2 linked regions of the Stegostoma tigrinum genome follow. The protein of the gene in region 1 purifies or fractionates together with the protein of each later gene. This does not show direct contact. Links are inferred from orthologs where the notes say so. Each region holds a gene or a part of one and is shown in the gene's direction. Other genes may lie near its edges. The genes, in order: llgl2 and prkcz.

The links.
Region 2: the proteins of llgl2 (region 1) and prkcz purify together in Homo sapiens (affinity purification with mass spectrometry; 7 studies listed by BioGRID and IntAct, counting the BioPlex papers as one, with this or other methods). This does not show direct contact. The link is inferred for Stegostoma tigrinum from reciprocal best matches to the Homo sapiens genes LLGL2 and PRKCZ.

The regions. Positions count from the first base shown.
Region 1 is NC_081375.1:36,782,658-36,794,978, forward strand, and holds the start of llgl2 (LLGL scribble cell polarity complex component 2), read left to right. Parts: upstream 1-6,632; 5' UTR 6,633-6,844; intron 6,845-9,471; exon of another isoform or gene 9,472-9,604; intron 9,605-12,321. Other genes in the region: tmem260 (transmembrane protein 260), read right to left, coding at 2,344-2,521, 4,777-4,928, 6,352-6,383, 6,490-6,610. UniProt on the Homo sapiens protein: Part of a complex with GPSM2/LGN, PRKCI/aPKC and PARD6B/Par-6, which may ensure the correct organization and orientation of bipolar spindles for normal cell division.
Region 2 is NC_081381.1:22,667,506-22,679,441, forward strand, and holds the start of prkcz (protein kinase C zeta type), read left to right. Parts: upstream 1-6,966; 5' UTR 6,967-7,353; coding exon 7,354-7,427; intron 7,428-11,936. UniProt on the Homo sapiens protein: Calcium- and diacylglycerol-independent serine/threonine-protein kinase that functions in phosphatidylinositol 3-kinase (PI3K) pathway and mitogen-activated protein (MAP) kinase cascade, and is involved in NF-kappa-B activation, mitogenic signaling, cell proliferation, cell polarity, inflammatory response and maintenance of long-term potentiation (LTP).

The DNA.
Region 1 (12,321 bases):
AGGGACGCGCTAAAGCTTGGGGCAGCCGCCACCAAGGCGCGGTGGGTAAAGACCACTGTACGAAGCCCCTCGTCCAGAATGGAAAAAAGGGCCCTATCTGGTAACTGGACCCAGCTGCCCCCTTCCCCAACTTGACAGGGGGCCAACGGGGACTGTGCAGGGTGACGACTGCCGGGGTATTTTCTTTGCTTTGTTTTTTTCTTCTTCTTTGTTTTTTTTTCCTTTAGTTGGTGTACGTACCCCGTGGGTGACCCAGAGCAGCTTGCATGACTGGGTAGGTGTATAAATATGTTTTATTTTTTGTACATCTTATGAATAAAGTATATTTTTTCAAATAAAAACAAGTGACGAAACGTCTGACAACTAACCTTCCAGCTCAGCGAGCAAACTCACATCCAGAACCTCAACCTGAGAAACAAATCTTCTCAAAACTCGCTATGACCTAAAATCATCTTATGTGGCTTAGTGTTTTCTCATACTTCTGTAAAGAGTCTTGAGATATTTATTAAGTTGATCTTTTTCAGGCACCATATTTTGCAACATTGATGATCACTGCTCTTCAAACTTTATGGTCTTTACTAACTCCCAATGTCCTGATATTGTTCTCAAATTTTATCCTGGTTCTGCCTCTTAAACTGTCACTGTATTTCCTCCTATTTCCCTCGAGTTCAAACCTACCAATCAGGTCTTCTGGTTTCTCTGTTCCAAGTCCATATCCAATGAATTGTTGCTAAATGCATATTAAAGTCTCAACAAAAACACAAGTTGTTAATTATTCCTGCTTGTTCTCTCTTTGACAATGGTCCTTCTCCCGCTATCATCGGGAGAGGGGCAAGGAGGAGTAGAGGTAGTTACAAAAGAGTTGCCCATGAAATAGTGGACCAATTTAAGGGGACAACAAAGGCAGTGACATTGCCCTGTCACTGTGTTGGGATTTGGCTTATAGCTCCCACACATGCCAGAATATGTTGTGAGAGCTACCCTCACTACCTCCACTTTAGCTGCACACATTTATGCGCTCTGCTGCAAGATGGTCAACAACAAAAAAAAACTGGAAAGAAGGTGGATCTTCCTGCAACGGTTCACATTATTACAGCATCAGGCTTTCAAGTATCTCCAAGTGAGGTTTTCCCCAAAAGCAAATCTACATCAATGTGGCAAACTGTTTGTTCGAGGAAACATGATTACAACACAATAGAAAGAATGTACAAGATCAGTCAACAATATCTGCTATGTGGTAGGGTTTCCTTGAGGGTAGAAAACCCATAGGGGGAAGCAATGGCCTAGTGGTAGTAACGCTAAATTATTAATCCAGGGAGCCAGGTAATAATCTGGGGACTGGGGCTCAAATTCTGCCATGACAGATACTGGAATGTGAATTCAACAAAAATATGTAATTAAGAGTTTCACAATAACTACGAAGTTATTGTTGATTGTCAAAAAACCTATTTGGTCCACTCAGGGTCTTTAGGGAAGGAAACCGCTGTCCTTACCCAGTCTGACCTACATGTGACTCCAGATCCATAGCAATGTGGCGGATTCTTAACTTCCCTCTGGGGATTTAGAAATGGCTGTCAATACTGGCTGAGCTACTGACAATCACATTCCACCAATGAATATTTAAAAATAGCACACTGCACCAATATGGGCATGAAAACTCTTCAGGGCAATTTTGTGGGTATCAAGGTGGTGTTCACTGAACTAATGTGATGGGGCAACACAGTGGCTCAGTGTTTAGCACTGCTGCCTCACAGCACCAGGGACCCGAGTTCAATTTCACCCTCCAGTGACTGTCTGTGCGGAGTGTGCACATTCTCCCCATGTCTTCGTGGGTTTCCTCCAGTTTCCTCCCACAGTCCAAAGATGTGCAGGCTAGATGGATTGGCCATGCTAAGTTGCCCATAGGGATGTGTAGATTGGGTGGGTTATAGGGTGATGGGTATGGGTGGGTTGCTCTGAGGGTCAGTGTGGACTTGTTGGGCCAAATGGCCTGTTTCCACACTGGAGGGATTCTATGTAATATTAATATACATCTCTTATATATGTATATATAAGAGATGCTGGTTGGCACCCAATGTTATTAACTTATATCAGATCGCCACACAACTAGTGAGCAATGAAATTGGGGTCCAAGGACAGGATGATGATATTTAAATCATTTTTTGTCGAAAGACTAAATAAATTAATGCAACTGTTCTTTTGTTAACCCATTGCTCGACTGCAATAAACAATACGCCTGAGTTTGTGATTTGAAGCCAGGCTTGCAACACTTTCTCAGCCAATCCCCTATGACACATTGTTTGTTGTCTGTTGTTTATGGGGAAAGCAAGCAACAGAATGTACCTTTGACCTTTCCTGTGATGTGGCTGCTGTACTGAATCGAACTGTCAGGACCATGAGAAGACCAACAAAAAAATTGTTCAAGGTGAAAACCTCAGCTGCAACAGACCACTGCCATGCCAACCGAGAAAAGCCAAAGAGGCCAGCAGCGAGAATTCCTCCAGTGTACGAATCTGACAACCTGAAACAAATGGAATGGGATATCAGAAACAGGAACAAGCCACTCAGCCCAATCTTTCCCGAACAACTGTTCTAACAGATGATGGGTGATTGGTAGCTTGAGTCCATTTATTCCCTATTGTGACATTTTCCATGACAAAAATGTTATTTCCATGACTTTAACAAAAACGAATCACAATGAGTAAAAAGAAAATCAGCTGTCATTTGCTAAAATCATTGATCACAGCCTGTGCAATTTCAAATGATTCAATTATGCTAAAAACCAATGCACGCCCATAACCCCACCCCCATTCACCATAATGGATAATCACCCAGTTCCGTTAACACTGGCATCTTACTAAACCTGCTGGAGTATTTCAGGTTGACTAAATGAAGTGGAGGTGCTGGACTCGGGTGGACAAGATCAGCAATCACAACACCAGGCTATAGTCCAAGAGGTTAATTTGAAAACACAAGTTTTCAGAGCCTCACTCCTTCCGGTGTTAGAAGGAGTGAGGATCCGAAAGCTTGTGTTTTCAAATAGACCTGCTAGACAATAACCTGGTGTGCTGTGATTTCTTGAGTTTGATTAAAAGCATCTGATCACCAATGAGTGACCTCTGCTGATTGGCTAGTGAGCTGTCAGGATGTGGGGAAAAGATGGGGAAAGGGTGTTGAAAGAGAAAGTGCAAGAAATATTAGAAGTCTGACAAGAGCGTAAGTAACAGTTAGATCTTTAGCAAAAAAAGTTGGAAGGGCACCAAAAGATAGGTCCTGATCTGTTGCAACTCTCACACGCTTTAATGGCTTCATTCTTGTAATTCACAAAACATTAAGTTTGTTTTCTCATTTTCTCTCAAAGGGACAGCTAATTCCTGACTGCGCCATTCTCTGAGGCTCTGTCTTTACACAACCCAATTTAGAGAGCGGTGAATGGATTCTATTTCTCTTCCCCTTCTGTACTGGGCTCAACAAAGTTTAAATTTAAGGAGAGGTGATAATGAGCTGCAATGGCAGTATCAGAAACAGTCCAGTGAGATCCCTTAAGCAAGAAATGAATAACTAGTTTATTCCCCAAAGTTTCTAACCCTTCTCAAAATATAACGTACAAACGCACAATGTCCAGCCCTGACAAAAATAAATCTGCAGATTATTATCTCAAAAGTACTTTGGCAGAATAACTGTTCAATTCATGAAAATGAATTGTTCACACATTTCACAAATATTTGTCTGTAGCCAAGTCATTTTACACATAAGCTGATAGCACTGGGGTCTCCCAGGATCAATCATAGCTGGCTATGTATATATAGAATTTTTCGTTTCTACTTTAGGTATTTAGCAGCCAGAATATTTTGCTTTGGTGTTTATTAATTATGTAGATGGGAACCAGGAGTGCCAAAGTGACATTGAAAGATTCAGCAAGTGCATGAAACCTTGGCAGATGAATTCAATGACCAAAAAAAAATGTCATCTAATCTGGACCAGAAAATTTGAATCAATTTTCTATCTAGCAGGAAAGATCAAACAGTGCAGGAGCAGAAAGATTTGGAAATTTTGGGAAAAAAAGTCACAAGCTTGTACACAGGCACAAAAATAATTTCTGAATTCAATGTTAACATTAAGCTGAAGGGGACTGGAATATTGTCGTCTATAAAGCTCAAATACAGCACATCAGAAGTGCCGCATTTAGTTTCAAGTATCCCAACTCAGAAAGGTCGAAGTGGCCATGCATGTATATAGTACCTTTAAATAACAGCTCATCCACCTCAAGAATAATTCAACAAATAATACATCAGTGTCAAAAAGGGATTCAATCATGAGGACAGCTATTTAGACTGGATTTATATTCCCTTAATTACATAAGATTAAAAGATGATTTAATTGAGATGTTTATGGTTAAATTAAGTTGATTGCATTAAGAATGGGACCCGGAACAAGGAGCCGATCAGGTCACATTCCTCACATTAACTTTATTTTTAGTAAAGATCTAACTGTTACTTAGGCTCTTGCCAGACTTCTAATATTTCCTGAAAATTTGGAACTTTACCCCAATAACGGAGTCAATTAACAATTTCAAATTGAGATTAACAGCTGTGTATTGGATAAGTGAATAAAAGGTTATGAAACCCAGGTTGCTTGAGAGAATTCAGATACTGCTCAGTTACAATTGAATGGAATGGTGGATAAGTCTGAGAAGCTGAATGACCCTGTCTCTGAAACTTTGATAGGAGTGTCTGTAGAGATAGAGTAGGATCCTGTTCCCTACGTTGGACTCACCTCCCAGCTGTCTCAAAGATTAATGGGGCTGTAGCTGCTCCCAATATAGCATTTAAAACATTGACTCTGAAAACAGGGGAGCCTACTGGAAGAATGGTCATTGCCAGTCTAGCCAAGACAGTGAACAATGGATATCCAGGAGGATGTGCCACCTGAAAAACAGAAAAGCAACAGACCATAAACCACCCACATCACCCAAAACATAACATGTCCAAAACCATCCATGATCAAGCATCTGCAGCCAGTACCCATCCTTAAAGCAGGCCATTCTGGCCAACTGCTGGATGCACCAACAGAGGAGACAGTCTTAAGAGGAATACAATTGACTACAATACCAAATCCAGATCATGTCCAGGTGAAAAAAACCTATCTCAGACTTCTCCACCCAATGCTCACTCAACACACATCTACTACTGTCACCTCTTACCATTGATCATGATCTTGGGATTTAGAAGTTGTAAAGTCAACCACTTCCTTCTGCCCTCGTCCACTCAGTTTTCCTCCCCTTCTCTAAACCAACATGCAAAACATAGATTTTAGGAAAAAGATCCCCAAGCTTTGTGCCAAATTTCCAGTGCCCTCATTTCTGGGCAACACACTGAATAGTCAGCCAGCTCAAACACTCCATTATTTGTCTTGTGGAGCCTCCCTTTTTTGCTGGCCCACTACAGTCTTTACTCCCCCAAGTCAGAGGACCTCAAACTCAGCACACGCAGTATAACTTGTCAGATCATCTGGCATGGAACATATCAAAGACTTGGAATGGTAGTAGCAGTCAAGAAGGTGGCTCTGTCAGGTGGAAACAGAAACTAGGATGAGACCATACTTCTTGTATTGTTGCCAGTACCTCAACAACCTAGCACATCTCAGGGCCCCTTTTACCTGCTTCTGGCATTTTTCAGTTTTGTTTCTACTTTACCAACATCATTTCCATGAGGTCCACCTAATAATTCCTTGATTTCCCAGGTACCTCATCAAACTCAGGATTCACCCGTTTCGTACACCAGCCACTGTGCATTTAACTCACAGTAAAATACCATCTCTGTCTTCAGCTCACCCTTCACTCATCCATTCTCTTATAATCCTTCATCTCTAAACTGCTTTCTCTCAAAACATTTCATCCCAACCCTTCCCATTTCCGTCAAATCTCTTTAATCTTTCTTGGGCTCCTGGTGCTCTTTCCTATCCATCACTCTCTGCACCATTCACCCAAGGGGGCAGTTTCTCTTCCTCCTTCCTTATCACACCTCGCACACTGTCCAGCATCTAGGCCACCTCTCAGTTTTACTTCCAATCCAAACAGAGTTAAAGTCACAATGACCAGGATTCTCTCTGACTCCACACCAGGAATTGGGGAAACTCACATCTTTACGCTTTCTTGCCACTAATCTCATTTCCACCACCAACCCCTCGCCGCCATTTGTTCAAACTGACTCTCGTTGGCCTATTGAAAACCGTAATCCCCCCGAGGGGGGGGATAAAAACGCCCGATTGCAGCTCTTCATTTTCTACCAGGGTTTCTCCATCATCAGCATCGACCCGACCTCAACACTGAAGCTGCAGGAATTCACTCACCCCCAGTTCGCAAGCAGCAGTCACCAGCTCTCCTGTGGAAACAACAGCAACATTGCAGTGACTGAGAGGAGCAACAAAAACAACGCCACCCCATTGCTCACATCCCCTTCCTCTCCCCTCCCCCGGCCCAGCACTGACCAGAGTCTCCCCCGGGCACCGTGCGCTGTACTGTCCGCAGATAGACGGCGGACAGACCACCGAGAAGCAGCAACGGGCCGAAGCCCGAACACGGACCACCACCGTTTCCAGGGAAACCCATGGAAACCAGAGATCCACAGCACTTCCGTGAACACAGCACTATGGGTAGTTTTGGACCAACGAAACAAAACCTTGAAGGAGAGGGTACTGTTCGGGTCTGATTTTGTTCCTGATTTGCAGCATCCGCAGTTCTTTCCTTTCTGTTTGGTACTGTAAGGGCCTTCCCAGCGCTTCCAGTGGCACGCCGTAACATCCCAAACAGCAGCCTGGCAATTACCCAATCTGACATTTACAGGTAGGGCGACACTATTGCCTTGATTCTGAGCAGGATTAAAAACATCAACATTCAGAGCCCAGCTAAAGAACGTTTTGAGTCAACTAAGTATTAGGATCTGGCTGTTGTCACTGGGTCTCACCTATAGGTTCCACTAGCTAGGTAAGGTATCACTTCCCCTTGCTCATTAATAAAGTGAAAGACTGTGGAAGAGAGACAGGCAGCCGGATGCAGGTCTCAGTTATCTCAGACCTTGGGATAACCATTTGGGCCAAGCTCAGATGCAGACCCCCTGAGACTGTGTTCATACCACTATGTGTTCATTCACTGAAGATCAGTGGTCCTGAAATATGGCCAATACTTGAAAAGCAGTGGTCTTAAATAGTCTCCTCCTGAGGTTTCCTGCATGACAGATGCATTTAGCCACTTGATTCGATATCAAGGAACAGTTGTGTGCGTGAGATTCAACAAAGGCTATGGGTTCTATCAATATCCCAAAAGTAGTACCAAAGACCTATGCCCCAAAACTAGACATGCATCTAGCCAATCTGCTCCAGTAAAGCTGCTACACTGGCAATAAGTGGCATTTATTCATCAGTCCATCTTGCTCATCAGTGTTCACTTTGAATTCTGCCAGGGCCACTCAATTCCAGACCTCATTACAGCCTTGGTCCAATGGATTAAAAAGTCTAATTGGTGAGGTATGAGTGACTGCTGTTCATATAAAGGTAGCATTTGACCATATGGTATCAAATAGAATTAGGACAAGTCACCACCAGTTGGAGTCATATCAAGCACAAAGGAAGAAGGCTGTGACTGTTGGAGGCCAATCATCTCACCTCCCCACTTCAGGACATCTCTGCAGCAGTTTTTTTCAGGACAGTGATCAATAATTTTTCCTCCATCCTCCGGTCAGATGTGGAGAGGTTCCCTAATGACTGTGCAATGTTCTGCACCATTCACGATTCCTCAAGTATTGAAGTAGTCTATGCCCATAAGCAATAAAATGTACATAGAATTCAAGCTCATACAGATGAGTAGTCTGTAACAATTGTGACATATGTATGTCAGTAAATAATGATCTCCAACAAGATTGTATCTAATTGTCTCCCATTGATATTCAATGACATTACTATCACTGAATCCTTCACCATCAACATTCTAGTTTTCATCATTGACCAGAAACTGAACTGGACCAATCATCAATACTTTGGTGACAAGAGCAGGCCAGAGGCTAGGAATTCTGCTGCAAGTAACTAATGCCCTCTCTCCTTAAAGTTTGTCCAACACCTGTAACACACGTCAGGAATATAATGAAATACTCTTCACTTTGCTAGATACACACAGCTCCAGCAACACTCAACAACATCCAGGACAAAGAAGCCTGCTTCAGAGATAATGGGAACTGCAGATGCTGGAGAATCTGAGATAACAAAGTGTGGAGCTGGACGAACACAGCAGGCCAAGCAGCATCTTAGGAGCACAAAAGCTGACATGTTGGGCCTAGACCCTTCATCAGAAATTTTCTGATTTTCTGATGAAGGGTCTAGGCCCGAAACATCGGGTTTTATGCTCCTCAGATGATGCTTGTCCTGCTGTGTTCATCCAGATCCACACTTCCTTATCTTTATCAAAGAAGCCTGCTTGTTTGATACCCTATCTACCACCTTAAGCATTAGCTTCCTCTTCCACCAAGGTACACTGGCAGTAGTATGTACCAGCTATATGATGCGCTGCAAAAAACCTGTCAAACTTCCTCTGCCAGACTGTTCCAGACTTGTGCTCTTGACACTTGTAAACAGCAGCAAATGCATGGAAACAGCTCTTTCTGCAAGTTCTTTTCCAAGCATCACACAATCCTTACTTGAAACATCTTACACTGATGGATTTTCACAGGGTCAAACTCCTGAAAATCCAGCCCTAACAGCATTTTGAAGGTATCTACATTATGTGGACTAGAGTAGTTCAGGGATATGGTATTATGGATGGTCTGCAAAGCATTTTCTTCCTTAATAAAGATAAATGCTAAATATTAATTTAATACCTCAATTATGCCCCTTCGTCTGTGCATAAAAACCCTTTTTGGTCTATATTTAAGCAACTCTTTCTTTCGTCTCCCATTTAACTTCATAAATGCCAATAAGTGACTTTAAGATTCCCTTACGTTAGCTGACAATCTCTTTTCATACTCTCTTTTTGCTTCTCTTAGATGGGACATTGTACATTGAGCTGGTGCTCCATTGTATTTAATTTACATCTTTTACTCCATAATTTATTTCGCCTTCATCTCAATCTCTATCTCGATCATCAAGGCCGCTCTTAATTTGTTTGGCTTGGTTTTCACCTGTGTGGAAATAGTCCAGGCACAATAACGGGGGTATATCTCTTCTATGAAGGTATAATATTGATCAGTTAAATTGAAATCAAAGGTTGGCAAGGAAAAACTTGGGTCAGTTTCATTCTCGCCTCCCCCAACCAAGTTGGCTTTCCAACTGATGGCTTTCCATCAGTTAATTATTCTTGTTCGAGATCATCCCTTGCTCTTTTTGCTGAAGAAGCTAAACTCGCTTTTTGATGTTTGCTGCCTCGAATAAGCTTAGCGCTGCCCCTTTAAGAGGTGACTGCAATGGGAACTGGGCGGTTGGCTGTTGCTGTGTGCGGCTGCGCGCTGTAGAAGCGGTGCGGGCCCTTTAAGAGGTTTCACCTGGCGGCCACACCTGACGGCGGGGATTCGGCTTGTGAGAGGGGAGAGCTAAGCAGTTAGTGCCACCCGGAGCTCAGGTAAGATTGGGAAGGCCCAGCAAGATTGGTGCGCCTATCGTGATCCAACCACATTTCTGCCCCCAAGCCCTGCGAGGAACCCGGCAGCTCGGAGCCGGACGGCAGGCCTGTCCTGGGGCTCAGTTACAGAGCAACGACCGGGGACTGAGTTAGGTTTACTGTAGTGACGGGAAATGGCAGCTGGCCTGGTTGCCGTTAATCAGGCCAAACTCCGTATGAATGTTTGTGTTGGCTTACTAATCAGCTTGATAATAGATAATCACTTGGGTAATGGTTAACTGTTTGGGTAATGGATTGCAAACCAGGTTAGCAATCAACTGGATAACATAACGAGCTTAACGTATTTTTAAATCAACTTGCCCAGAAACGTGGATACACGCCTCTGGTGTAGATGGGAGTTTTGAACCTGGGCCTCTTGTTGCGTACGGACCACTGCGCACGTGAACCGTCCTTTTTTGTAATAAAGTAATTAGGAAGTTGTTGATATCATTGTAGTCCCAGCTTTGTGCTTTTCTTTAACAACCCCATGAATGAATTCTATCAATAGGTTTTTGCCCTTGCTGCTATGCTAAAAGTGGTCTTGGGATATGTAACTGTAATGAAGAATTGTTGTCCTGTTTTGCTTTTGTAGCTTTTTGAAAGGGTTAACATAGAATTTTACTCCAACTTCTTTATTGAGCTGAGAGAGGTGGAGGATAGGTGACCTGTACTTAACAGTTGTGTTTCTAGCTGTCAAATTGTGGTATAACAGGTGCTTAAAATGGCATTTTGTTTTTCTTGCTTCTCTCCTGTAACTTCAAGTGATTTCTTCTCCCATGTGTCCTCCCCGTTATCTAACTGTAGTTCCTTCCTTTTTGTTATCGACAAGCTGCCTTTGTGCCATTTGAAAATACAGCATTGACTTTTCATGTATGCTATACTTAGCTGTATTTCACCACTATCCCTTTTCTTGATTTCTCCAAATTTTGACATTCAGTACTGAATGAGTAAATTGGGTTTTTTTCCCTATTGAATATTAGGAAGACAGAAACCAGAGAACTGATGTATCAGCAAACCTGGTTACAAGATAAATGGGGTGCACAATGCCTGCAAAATGACCCAGGTTAAGTGAGGGAGCAACAAGATGGCAAGATTGACAAGTCGCCAGGCCCGGATCAGATTTGTCCTCGGCTGCTTTGGGAAGCGAGAAATGCAATTGCTTCGCCACTTGCGAAGATCTTTGCATCCTCGCTCTCCACTGGAGTCGTACCTGAGGACTGGAGAGAGGCAAATGTAATTCCTCTCTTCAAGAAAGGAAATAGGGAAATCCCCGGCAATTATAGACCGGTAAGTCTCACGTCTGTCTTCTGCAAGGTGTTAGAAAGGATTCTGAGGGATAAGATTTATGACCATCTGGAAGAGCATGGCTTGATCAAATACAGTCAACACGGCTTTGTGAGGGGTAGGTCATGCCTTACAAACCTTATCGAGTTTTTTGAGGATGTGACTAGAAAGGTTGATGAGGGTCGAGCTGTGGATGTGGTGTATATGGACTTCAGTAAGGCATTTGATAAGGTTCCCCATGGTAGGCTCATTCAGAAGGTCAGGAGGATTGGGATACAGGGGAACTTAGCTGCTTGGATACAGAATTGGCTGGCCAACAGAAGACAGCGAGTGGTAGTAGAAGGAAAATATTCTGCCTGGAAGTCAGTGGTGAGTGGAGTTCCACAGGGCTCTGTCCTTGGGCCTCTACTGTTTGTAATTTTTATTAATGACTTGGACGAGGGGATTGAAGGATGGGTCAGCAAGTTTGCAGACGACACAAAGGTCGGAGGTGTCGTTGACAGTGTAGAGGGCTGTTGTAGGCTGCAGCGGGACATTGACAGGATGCAGAGATGGGCTGAGAGGTGGCAGATGGAGTTCAACCTGGATAAATGCGAGGTGATGCATTTTGGAAGGTCGAATTTGAAAGCTGAGTACAGGATTAAGGATAGGATTCTTGGCCGCGTGGAGGAACAGAGGGATCTTGGTGTGCAGATACATAGATCCCTTAAAATGGCCACCCAAGTGGACAGGGTTGTTAAGAAAGCATATGGTGTTTTGGCTTTCATTAACAGAGGGATTGAGTTTAAGAGTCGTGAGATCTTGTTGCAGCTCTATAAAACTTTGGTTAGACCGCACTTGGAATACTGCGTCCAGTTCTGGGCGCCCTATTATAGGAAAGATGTGGATGCTTTGGAGAGGGTTCAGAGGAGGTTTACCAGGATGCTGCCTGGACTGGAGGGCTTATCTTATGAAGAGAGGTTGACTGAGCTCGGTCTCTTTTCATTGGAGAAAAGGAGGAGGAGAGGGGACCTAATTGAGGTATACAAGATAATGAGAGGCATAGATAGAGTTGATAGCCAGAGACTATTTCCCAGGGCAGAAACGGCTAGCACGAGGGGTCATAGTTTTAAGCTGGTTGGTGGAAAGTATAGAGGGGATGTCAGAGGCAGGTTCTTTACGCAGAGAGTTGAGAGCATGGAATGCGTTGCCAGCAGCAGTTGTGGAAGCAAGGTCATTGGGGTCATTTAAGAGACTGCTGGACATGTATATGGTCACAGAAATTTGAGGGTGCATACATGAGGATCAATGGTTGGCACAACATTGTGGGCTGAAGGGCCTGTTCTGTGCTGTACTGTTCTATGTTCTATGGTGTATAATGTAGGGTAATGAGATTATTCTAATTGTTTTCAAAT
Region 2 (11,936 bases), on another chromosome or scaffold:
CAAACTGAGCAGTTAATCTGCAAGAAAAGGACAGCCTTCTGGCAATGACATCAAAGTAAGGCCAAAAGAAGGACTTGTTCAAAGCTAAGGCTGCTGTCCAGAGGAGGGTAAGGGAGTTCAAAAACAAATGGTGGACTGATAAGGCCTTTGAAATGTAGCAGATGGCACATGCCAGTAAGAAATTTCTTCAGTGCCACCAAGGTAGTATATGGTACAAGTTACTGACGTATAAACCCCCTGATCTCCAAGGACAAACAAAAACTATACACCAAAGCAATAAACACCCACTGGAGAGAGCATTCCCAAGAACACCTCAACTGTAATACCAATGTTAACTTGGAAATCATTAACCAAGTCCTCCAGAGATCAATGCAAGGTGACGAGGAATAATCTCCTGGGTGTGACCAAAGTACAAAGATGCCATAAGGAGCCTCAGAAACAACAAGGCTGCTGGTCTTGTTGGGAATACTGCAGAGATCCTACAGTAGGGTGGCCCACAGCTCCATGAACACATGCATGCTTTGCTCTTGAAGATTTGTCTCAAAGAAGAACTTGGCTCATAGCTGAGGGATGTTCTGATTGTGACCATATTTAAAAGGGGTGACAAGGCTGACTTTGGGAATTACAGAGGCATCTCACTTCTGACCATAATACTTGAACATGCCCTTGCCAATAGACGTCTGCCATTTTCTGAGGAAATATTCCCTGAAACGCAGTATGGTTTCCGCCTATCCACAGGAATAACAGACATGATCTTCATAGCATATCAATTACAAGAAAAATGCCATGAGCACAAAAACATGCTTTTAATGGTCTTCATTGACTTATTTAAGGCTGTCTTGCTGACACTCTCATAATGGGGCTGCCCTGACAAGCTCATCCGAAAGCTGAGGCTACTGCATGATGACATGTCTGCGACAATGCTTAACAACTGTGGATTGGAGTCTGAGCCTTTCACCATGGGGTTGGGGTCAAGCAGGGCTGCATCACTGTACCCACCCTGTTACCCATCTTCATTGCCGCCGTCCTCCATCTCACTGGCCAAAACCTGCCCAAGAGAATTCAAATCATTTATCATATGGACTTTGCAGGCTGTTCAACCTTAATAAATTCAAGGCCAAGGGCAAGGTTCCGACCATATGCATCTTGGAGTTTCAATATGCTGATGACAGTGCCATTGCAGCACACGCTGCAGAAGATCTTCAGTGTGCCTCGGATGGCTTTGCCAAGGCATATAATCTCCTAGGCCTTACACTTATCATTAAAAAGACTCTAGCAGTCCATCAACCACCACCCAGCAACGGCTCCTAAATAAGGGTCAACAACCAGCCCTTGAAAATGTGCATCATTTCCCATACCTCGGCAGCCTTCTCTCCTGCAAAGCCAACATTGATGCAGAAATACACGATTTGAGCCGTGTCATTGGAGGCTGTGCCTGACTCAGAAGAAGGCTGTTTGAAGACAATAACCTACAGGCCCGGACTAAACTTCTGGTCTACAAAGCCATTGTCCTTCCCACACTGCCAAATGGAACTAAAATGTGGACTACGTACACGAGGAATCTTAAAGCACTGGAATAACACCATTAGATATACCTACAAAAAATCCCACGGATCACCTGTAAATAAAAGCGCACGAACACAAACAACTTGGAGGAGGCCAAAATAGCCAGCGTCACCACCATCATAATTCCGCAGCAACTCCAATGGACTGGCCATGTCATCCAAAAGCCCATCTTACGCCTCCAAAAAGAGATCATGTGCTCCCTGCTAAAGGAAGATCAACATGCTGCTGGTGGCCAAAAGGAACACTTCAAAGATAACATCCAGACCAACTTCAAGAAATTTCATATCAACGTGGCTACAAAACAGAATCACTGGAGAAATGTCACTCACCAGGGAGCTATATGCCACAAAAACAATCTCCATCATGCCGCTGAACAGAAGTGACTCTTGCACAAGGATACACAGAACATCAGGAAGGCGCACCAACCACCACTTCCAACCACCATTACCACCCACCGTGTCCACATTGCATTAGAATCTGTGGATCCTGGATTGACCGCTTCAGCCACCTCAGCCACCAGAAGACCCCCAAATAGATGCTGTTATCGAGGACAATCAAACTCAATATGAGTGATTGCTGAGAGAGTTGTGTAAGGATCTGTCGTTGTGATCTTCCTTCTTAACAGTCTTTCTATCCTTTTGCAATCACCCATAAACACAATGGTAGGTTCCACTCATACGTAAAACATGCTCTGCTCTATCTTGACACAACGTTCCTTGAGCCTTCCACTGTCTCTGATTACCTGATTTGTTTTTCATGCAATGCAAGCAAAAATTTTGTCCAGCTAAATATTTGGCAAACTCAATTGCCTGGTCTTCATCACGAAATCTATTCTGATGTCTTTATCTCTTTTTCTTATAGCTATCTGAGGATGAACTAAACTATTTGCAACTTTGAAGTTATATTTGACCCAGGTTGTGCTTCTGACCCCAGATTCACTCAATCACCAAGAGTGCTGAGTTCCACTTCCAGATGCTCGACACTATTTGTGCCTCAGTTCATCTGTTATGGAATTCCTCATCCACGCTCTTGTCATATCTAAATCTGACTGCTGCATGCTGATTTGGCTAGCCTCCCGTTTGACACCATATATATATCCAGGATCATCTACAACTCTCTTCCTGGTGTCTTTACAACACATGTAGCCAGGAATACACTTTCTGAAGGAGCATTTGGAGAGAATCAATACCTCGATCCATTAAGTCAAAATAACGTTCAACACAAAAATGAAGTAGCTTTGCATTTGGGCACAATGCCATCCTGTAATCTAGTGTAGTTTGCAACTTATTAAAATTTTTGATACCTTTGTTAGAACTTATAATAATGTGTGATAGATTGGAGATAATTCAGATTTGCATCACCAATGTATCCTTGCAGAGCTTATCAGAAATATGAGTGATGATGGGAACTGCAGATGCTGGAGAATCCAAGATAACAAAGTGTGGAGTTGGATGAACACAACAGGCCAAGCAGCATCTCAGGAGCACAAAAGCTGACGTTTCGGGCCAAGACCCTTCATCAGAGAGCTCTCTGATGAAGGGTCTAGGCCCGAAACGTCAGCTTTTGTGCTCCTGAGATGCTGCTTGGCCTGCTGTGTTCATCTAGCTCCACACTTTGTTATCAGAAATATGCATCCTTTTTATTAGCCATGACTCAGTGATAGCACTCTTGCCTATTGGTTAGTAAATTGTGGGTTTAATTCCCACTGCAGAGATTTGAGCATAACATCTAGAATCATAGAATCCCTACAGTGCAGTTGGAGACCATTCCGCCCACTGAATCTGAGCCGACCCTGAGAAGAGCATTCGGCCCAGACGCAGCCTCCGATGCTAACCCCGTAACCCAGCATTCACCTGGCTCAAAAGATAACAAGGTGTAGAGCTGGATGAACACAGCGAGCCAAGCAACATCAGAGGAACAGGTAAGGCTGATGTTTTGGGTCTAGACCCTTCTTCACTGCAGTTCCGACTATCTCATTCACCTGGCTAACCCACCTGCACATTCCAGGACACTACGAGGCAATTCAGCATGGCCAATCCACCTAAACTGCATGTCCTTAGATTGTGGAGGGAAACCAGAGCACTCAGTGGAAACCTGCACAGATGGGGAGAACATGCAAGATCCACACAGACAGTAGCCCAAGCCCTTGATGCTGTGAGGCAGCTGTGCTAACTACTGGAACATTTCCAGTGGGAGTACTGCAGTATTAGAGATATAGTCCTTATTGAGACCATAAATTGTCCTTTTGACTGGATGCTGAAGATTCCACAGTAATATCATAGAATCCCTACAGTGTGGAAACAGGCCCTTCGTCCCAACAAGTCCACACTGAACCCCAAAGCATCCCACCCAGACCCATCCCCCTATAACCCACATACCCCTGAATACTATGGGCAATTTAGTATGACCAATCCACTCAGCCTGCACATCTTTGGACTGTGGGAGGAAACCAAGGCACCCGGAGGAAACTCACACAGACATGAGGAGAATGTGCAAACTCCACACAGGCAGTTGCCCAAAGCTGGCATCGAACCCAGGTCCCTGGTACTGTGAGGCAGCTTTGCTAACCACTGTGCCACTGTGTTGCCTTTTCTGCATATACACAAAAGACAGTTTTTCAAGTAAATTTTATTCGTTTACCGTCAGCCGATCCTATGAGCAGGTTAGCTGACCTTTATCAGGACGCTGTTTGAGTGACCTTTGAGCATTTAAATTGCCTGCAGAACTTCCTTACTTTCATTGCAACAGTGATTACACTTCATTGACTTTAAAATGTTTGAAAACTGACTGGAGGGAGCAGCAAAAATATCTGAGCCTCAATGATGGAAGAGCCCAACGCATCAGTGCAAAAGATAAGCCATTCATAACAATGTTCAGCCAGAAATACCAAGTGGATGATTCATCTTGGCCTCCTCCAGTGGCCCCTAGCATTATGGATCCAGTCTTCAACCAATTTGATTCACTTCACTTGATATTAAGAAATGGTTGGAGCCACTGTACACTACAGAGGCCATGTACCTGACACCATTCTGCAATAGTACTGAAAATTTCTATGACAGAACTTGCCACCCCCCAGCCAAGCTCTTCCAGTACATTTACAACACTGGCATTTACCTTACAATGTGGAAAATTGCCCAGGAATGTCCTGTACATTAAAACCAGGACAAATCCAAGCCAAATTACCATCCCCTCAGTCAGCTCAAAGCGATGGAAGGTGTCATCAACAGTGCTGTCAAACAGCACCTGCTCAAAAATAACTTGCTCAGTACAGATTCTGGCACGGCTGTTCACCTCCTGACCTCATTATAGCCTTGATTCAAACATAGACAAAGAGCTGAATTCCAGAGGTGAGCTAAGAGTGACAGCCCTTGACATCAAAGCTGCATTCTATCAAGTATGGCAGCAAGGGTTCCCAATAAAACCAGAATCAGTGAGAATCAAATGGAAAACTCTCCTCTGGTTGGAGTCATGCTGGTACATAGGAGATGGTTGTGGTTGTTGGAGGTCAGTCCTTTCAGCTCCAGGACATCTCTGCGCGAGTTCTTCAAGGTTGTGTTGAGGCCATCCCAACTTCAGCTGTTTCATCATTGACCTTCCCTCCATCATTGGGGATGTTTGCTGATGATTGTACAATGTTCAGCACTATTTACATCTCCTCAGATACTGAAGCAGTCCATGTTCAAATGCAACAAGATTTGGACAATATCCAGGTTTGGGCTGACAGGTGGAAAGTAACGTTCATGCCACACAAATGCCAGGCAATGACCAGCTCTAATAAGAGACAAGCTAACCACTACCCCTTGACATTCAATGGTATTACCATCACCGAATCTCCACTATCAACAGTAGTGAGTAACTCACCTCCTGACTCCCCAAGCCTATCCACCATTTACAAGGCGCAGTTTAGGAGTGTGATTGAATACTGTTCATTTGCCTGAATGGGTAGAGCTCCAGCTGCAGTGGGAATTAAACCCACAATTTACTAACAAATAGGCAAGAGTGCTATCACTGAGTCATGGCTAATAAAAACAATGCCTATTTCTGATAAGCTCTGCAAGGATACATTTGTGATGCAAATCCAAATCCAAGAAGCTTGACATCAACCTGGATATTTGATTAGCACCACATCAACAAAATATCCACACCATCCACCACCAATGCTCAGTAGCAACAGAATATATTACCTACAAGATGCGCTGCAAAAATTCACCAAAGATCCTTAGACACCATCTTCCAAAACCACAACCATGTCCATCCAGAAGGACAAGGGCTGTTGCTGGGTCAAAATCCTGAAATTTCCACTTTAAGGGCATTGTGGGCCAACCTACAGCACATAGAATGCAGCAGTTCATAAAGGCAGCTCAAAGGCAAATAGGAATGGACAATAAATGCTGGCCCAGCCAGTGACACCCATGTCCAATGAGTTAATAAAATCAAGAGGTCAGGTCGTCCTGAAAGGACGTTTTAGATATTTTCTAATCAATGCAAATTGGTCCTGTGTTAAAGGTAAATGAAAGGACCCATTTTATTTTAATGTATACTTCTGGGAAAATATATGACTTAGAAGACACCTGCTGGGTTTTTTTTGGACTCTGTTTTCAATGTTAGTCAGGGAAGAGTCTGCCATTGGAAAAAGGCAGGTTTTTTTTGTCAGAATACCAGTCGGGGATGTTATTTACATGCCTTTGGAGCAAGTGACACTTGAACGCAGGTCTCCCAACTCAGTGTTAGTAGGAACTGCTGATGCCGGAGAATCTGAGATATCAAGGTGTAGAGCTAAATGAACACAGCAGGCCAAGCAGCATCAGAGAAAGAAGGGTCTTCACACGCAACTCTCTGATGAAGGGTCTAGGCCCGAAACGTCAGCTTTTGTGCTCCTGAGATGCTGCTTGGCCTGCTGTGTTCATCCAGCTCCACACTATTATCTTGGAATTCTCCAGCATCTGCAGTTCCCATTATCTCTTCACACGAAACGTCAGTTTTCCTGCTCCTCTAATGCTGCCTGGCCTGCTGTGTTCATCCAGCTCTACACCTTGTTATCTCCTAAATCAGTGATGACATTCCGAAAGAGCGTGACGAACGCGATTTCAGTGCAAGGCTTTCATTCTGTTGTTCAGTATGAGAGGCTTCTTGTCTCCCATTGGTTCCAGGTGATTTGGGGAGGGCGGAGGCCGCGATCGGATTGGCGGCAGGTTTTTCATTAAACAACGCAGCCATCCCTTGTTCTATTGGTCAAAGTTCGATTTGTTCCTGATTGGCCAAGGTGGGATTCCGTTCGCCGGTTTGTCCCTCGGGATTGGCTGGGGAGGGAGGGTAGTACAGGTAACTTCTGCTAGAATGTGATTGGTTGTTGATGCGGCTTGTGGTGTCCACGCTGGGGGGGCGGCGCAGGGTGGGAATTGTCGGTTAACCTGTAACCGCCATTTGTGCAGCGCGAGCTTTGCTAGAGTGGCGGGCTACCGGCAGCAACAAGTTTCCTTAGGAGCGCAATCGAGCAAAAAGAAACACGAGTTGATACTTCGTCACGACATTGAATAATAACGAGTTTCATCGAAAGTCTTATGTTCCATCTTTTCTGAAACTTGATTGGCTTCTGTGATTCAATTCGGCTTTTTTTTAAACAAGCAAAGATCTGCTGAGGTTGAAGCTTTGGGTTTTCCTAAAAGGAAAGTGGTGGAATTTGTACTGGAGAAGCAGCGAGAGGCTTTTTCGTAACTGCGCCTTCCTGTCCGAAAGTTTGCGCTGGTTTACTTTGAATCCGTTCGCTGGTGGAGTGTCGATTGTGTCATGCCTACGAGGCTGGATAACAACATGGAGCACGGAACAGGTGACTCGATCAAAGTCAAAGCTCACTACAATGGGTAAGTTAAAATAATTTGACACTCGATAGCTTCCCACAGTATTTACCTAGCATACTATTCGCTTAAGAAAGCGTTTTGTTTTATTGCGTCTCTTAGAAAATTGATTGAAAGATGAAAGCGTTTTCTTCAGGGAAAAACAATTTATCTGTGCGATCATGCTGCTGTGAAACTTTTTTGACACTTTTTTTGTAGGCAGTTACAGAGAAGATATGCAGAGTTTCAAGCATTTTAACACTAACAGTGTATGTTTCCAGTTAATCTATTCGAAAACTATTTATTTTCTTACCATACTAAACATTTGGCTTTGACGTTATTGAACAGGATGCTGTCTAAAGTGCGCTGTTTGTCTAAGAATTTTACGCGTTACATTATTAGACCTGTTAAATATGGGCTAGTTATTTTGATTCCTGTTTTGGTGTGGACATGCTTAAATTATCCTTCAGTGTGAATAATTTGGGGCATCAGCCAAAGGTTGTGACTCTGGTGTTGATCATAAAATCTGTATGACAAAACAAGGATGTCTTAGTCCTTCAGCCCCTGTAGTTATGGGTTTTGTTTTTGCAGGAATTTTAATTTACTAATTCAGGTAATGGCTTCTGTCTGCATAATTTTGAGCTTTTAAATATTACAGCCTTCTAGTGGTTCTGAGTGTTCAGTCTTTTCTCTTCAATTAATTTGCCATTATGTTGGTTGTGATACTGTAAACAAATATAACACCTGGAATTAGATGGCATGCTAAATATTAGGTACGTTTGATTTTTCAAGTCTATCACAACCAAGCACATCTAAAGTTTTTTTTGGTTTGTGACAAAATCTGAAAAACATTTTCGTGACCTCAATTTGCCTATGAGGACCCAACATGGCAGCATCCAGCCAATTAGATTCTACCCATGTGATTGCAACAAACGTCCAAAGACACTGGATACTGCAGAGAATGTGGAGCCTAACAACATTCCAACAATTGTGCTGATAAATCATGCTCCAGCACCAGCCAGGTACCTAGCTGACCTGTTAAAGTACATTTTTCATTAAGGTATCTATGAGAAAATGTGAAAAATTACCCACATATGTTCTGCCCACGTTAAATAGGCTAAATCCAACTTGGTCAGTTATCACTACTTCATTCTTCTCTCAATTATCAACAAACTGACAGCATTGTAGAATAAATCAGTTACTTCAGAAATGACGTGGCAAAAGGAGGACTGAAGGCCATATAATTGGGATTTTACATGTGTAATAGTATACACGTAACCTGAAACCAGAGACACAAACTAAAGCTACTCTATATTGCAGCTTTCAGCCTTGTTACACTCAGGTTGTCTCTTTGCTTGAAGATAAAAAAGATTTTTTTACAGAATTTAGTTTTCTTCCTGTCTCTTCAATGATTTAAATCTCATTGGATTGTTGTTGTTGTTGTTGTTGTCAAGTAGCATGGTGCTGTATTTTCTGGCCACTCTTGTTCAGCCAAACATCTTGTGTGTAGATATAAGGGGAGGCAGTGGCCTAGTGGTATTATCACTGGACTGTTAATCCATAGACTCTCAGTTAATCCAAAGAATCATAGCACGGTGCCTGAGTGGTTAGCACTGCTGCCTCACAGCGCCAGAGACCCGGGTTCAATTCTACACCTCGGACGCCTGTCTGTGTGGAGTTTGCACGTTCTCCTTGTGCTTGTGTGGGTTTCCTCCTGGGTGCTCCAGTTTCCTCCCATGGCTCAGATGTGCGGGCTAGATGGATTGGCCATGTTAAAATTGCCCATAGTATTCAGGGTTGTGTAGATTAGGGGAATGGGGTCTGGGTGGGGTGCTGTGAAGGTCGGTGTGGACTTGTTGGGCCGAAGGGCCTGTTTACACACTAGGGATTCTATATCAAAAATGTATACCTAGGAAATATTTTGGGGTCCCAGGTTTGAATCCCATTGGGCAAATAGAATTTGAATTCAATAAAAATCGGGAATTGAGAGTCTAATGATGATGACCATGAATCCCTTGTTGATTATCAGGAAAAATCCATCTGGTTTGCCCCTGTCTTTTAAGGGAACGAAACTGCCATCAATACCTGGGTAAGGTCTATATGTGACTCCAGACCCACAGCAATGACTCTTAACTGCCCTCTGGGTAATTAGGGGCGGGCAATAAATGCTGGCCTAGCCAGCAACACCCACATCCTGTGAAAGGATTTTTAAAAAATTGCATGATGTGCTTAAGTATTATGTTGGGGAATTTTGAGTTATGACTTTGATTATAATTATAGAGCAGGAATTTGTAAACCTAATGGCTGAACCAGCTTCCTTTGGGAATGCATATCCAATAAATTACTTATCCAACTGACACACAGCAAACTTGATTTTTACTGGGAGCGCAAAGTGAGGAATGCCAAGTTTAAAAACTTTATTATCCAAAAAAAGCCACACTGCAATCTGATATGGATCCCTTTTCATTCCAGTGGAAAACATCAATTTCACCTTTTAGACATAGAACAAGATTTTATTTGTTTGGTTGACACAGCAAAGTGTTTAAAACTGAAAACAACATTAATGTATTCTGAATCTACTTGACTAACTTGGCCTTCTCGCATGTACATGGATGAGTGTAGTGCGTAGTTTGTGAAGTGTCAGTTTGATTTTGGAGAGACTATTCTACAAATCTGGCCTTACCATCATAAGCTTATTTCTGTTGTTGCATGTTATAATATGAAAACTGATGTTCACATGTACTTTAAAACAACGTGGACAAGTAACTGATGAGGTTATTTGGAAATTTGTGTGTCTTGGAGATGTTTGAGAGGACAAATGTGTTTGATCTTCTTGCCAAGTCTGTCAAAGAAGACCTCAGGTCGAGAAAACCAGTGTCCCCCAATAGTATTAGTCAGTTGGGATTCAAAGTAGCTGTTCAGACATACCAGCAGTTCCAGGATCAAACTCTGTGATTGTGCAAATGGAATCCCTTCAAACGTGCATAATATCTGGGAATATTGAAATAGAAAATAAATTCTAACAACTTGATAAGACAACAGCTCAATTAATCTTGGAGAGTCATTGTTGGAAAATAGTATATACAAAAAAGGTTAGACTGCCTGCAATCAACTATTTTGTAAATAGTGATGAAATGAAAAGCCCTTGGCCTACAGAGTAATATATGACCAAGTTGATTTAAGCTCATGATTTTGCAGATTTTACTTCTGTAATAGAGGCAAGTGTAATGGAGATAAATAAGGAAAGTGGAATTCAGGATTATCAATCATGGAAATGATAAGAGTAAACTTTATGGGTCAAATGGCCTCCATCTGCTCCTCTGTCTTATGGTCATGAGAGAGAACTTCTGAGTCTGTTACACTTAATGGGAGAGGTAGCTCCTTGAAATTAAGAAGGTTGAATATAAGGGCATCATACCAGAATATATCTGCATATAGGTAATGGATAGATACTATTTTTGACTCCTGAAGAGGCGCAAAAGTAAGTCAGTTAGAACTTGGTTAGATGGCAAAAAGTTAAGTGCTTTAGTTCTAGTAGGATGAGAAATGTAGGAATGGAATCAGAATTCCAGTAAACGAGTGATACAAGAGATAAGTTCAAGGTGACTGACAAATCTAAAAGGGTGATCCACAGTTAAACTCAAAGAAAAGCTGATTGTCACATAAGTGTAATTCCCAACATGACCACTGGTCATCTATTCGACAGTGACGTCCTAAAGCATTATGGTCAAGCTTTCTCAAAATTCCAAAGCAATACAACAGCTTATAAACCAGCAATGGAATATAAAATATGGAAGTTAGAGAACATGGGGAAATAAATAGCAACATCTTGAAAAATGTCCATATTACAGAGGAGGAGATGCTGAACATCTTTAAAATGCATGAAGGTGGATAAATCCCCAGGATCAGAACTCTGGGAAGCAAGGGAAAAGATTGCTGGGCCCCTTGCAGAGAAATTTGTATCATCAGTAGCCACAGGTGGAGAAGTGGAAGACTGGGATGGCTATTATTATGCCAGAAGTTAAGAAAGGCAATAAGGAAAAGCCAGGAAACTATAGTCCAGTGAGCCTGACATTAATGGTGGGAAAGCAGTTTGAAAGAATTCTGAGGGGCAGGATTTACATACATTTGGAAAAGCAAGGACTGTTTTAGGGATTGTCGTTGTGACTTTGTGTGTGGGGATGTACTTCATTTAAGGTGTTCAGCAAGGTTCCTCATGGTAGACTGGTTAGCAAGGTAAGATCACAGGGAATGTAGGAAGAACTAGTTATCTGGATTCAGAATTGGCTGAAAGATAGACAGAAGGTGGTGGTTAAGGGGTGCTTTTCAGGCTGGAGGCCTGTGACCAGCGGTGTGCCACAACGATTGGTGCTGGGTCCAATGCTGCGTGTCTTTTATATAAATGATTTGGATCTGAACATAGGATGTATAGTTAGTAAGTTTGCAGATGGCACTAAAATTGGAGGTGTGGTGGACAGCGAAGAAGGTTACCTCGGAGTACAATGTGATCTTGATCAGATGGGCCAATGGACAAAG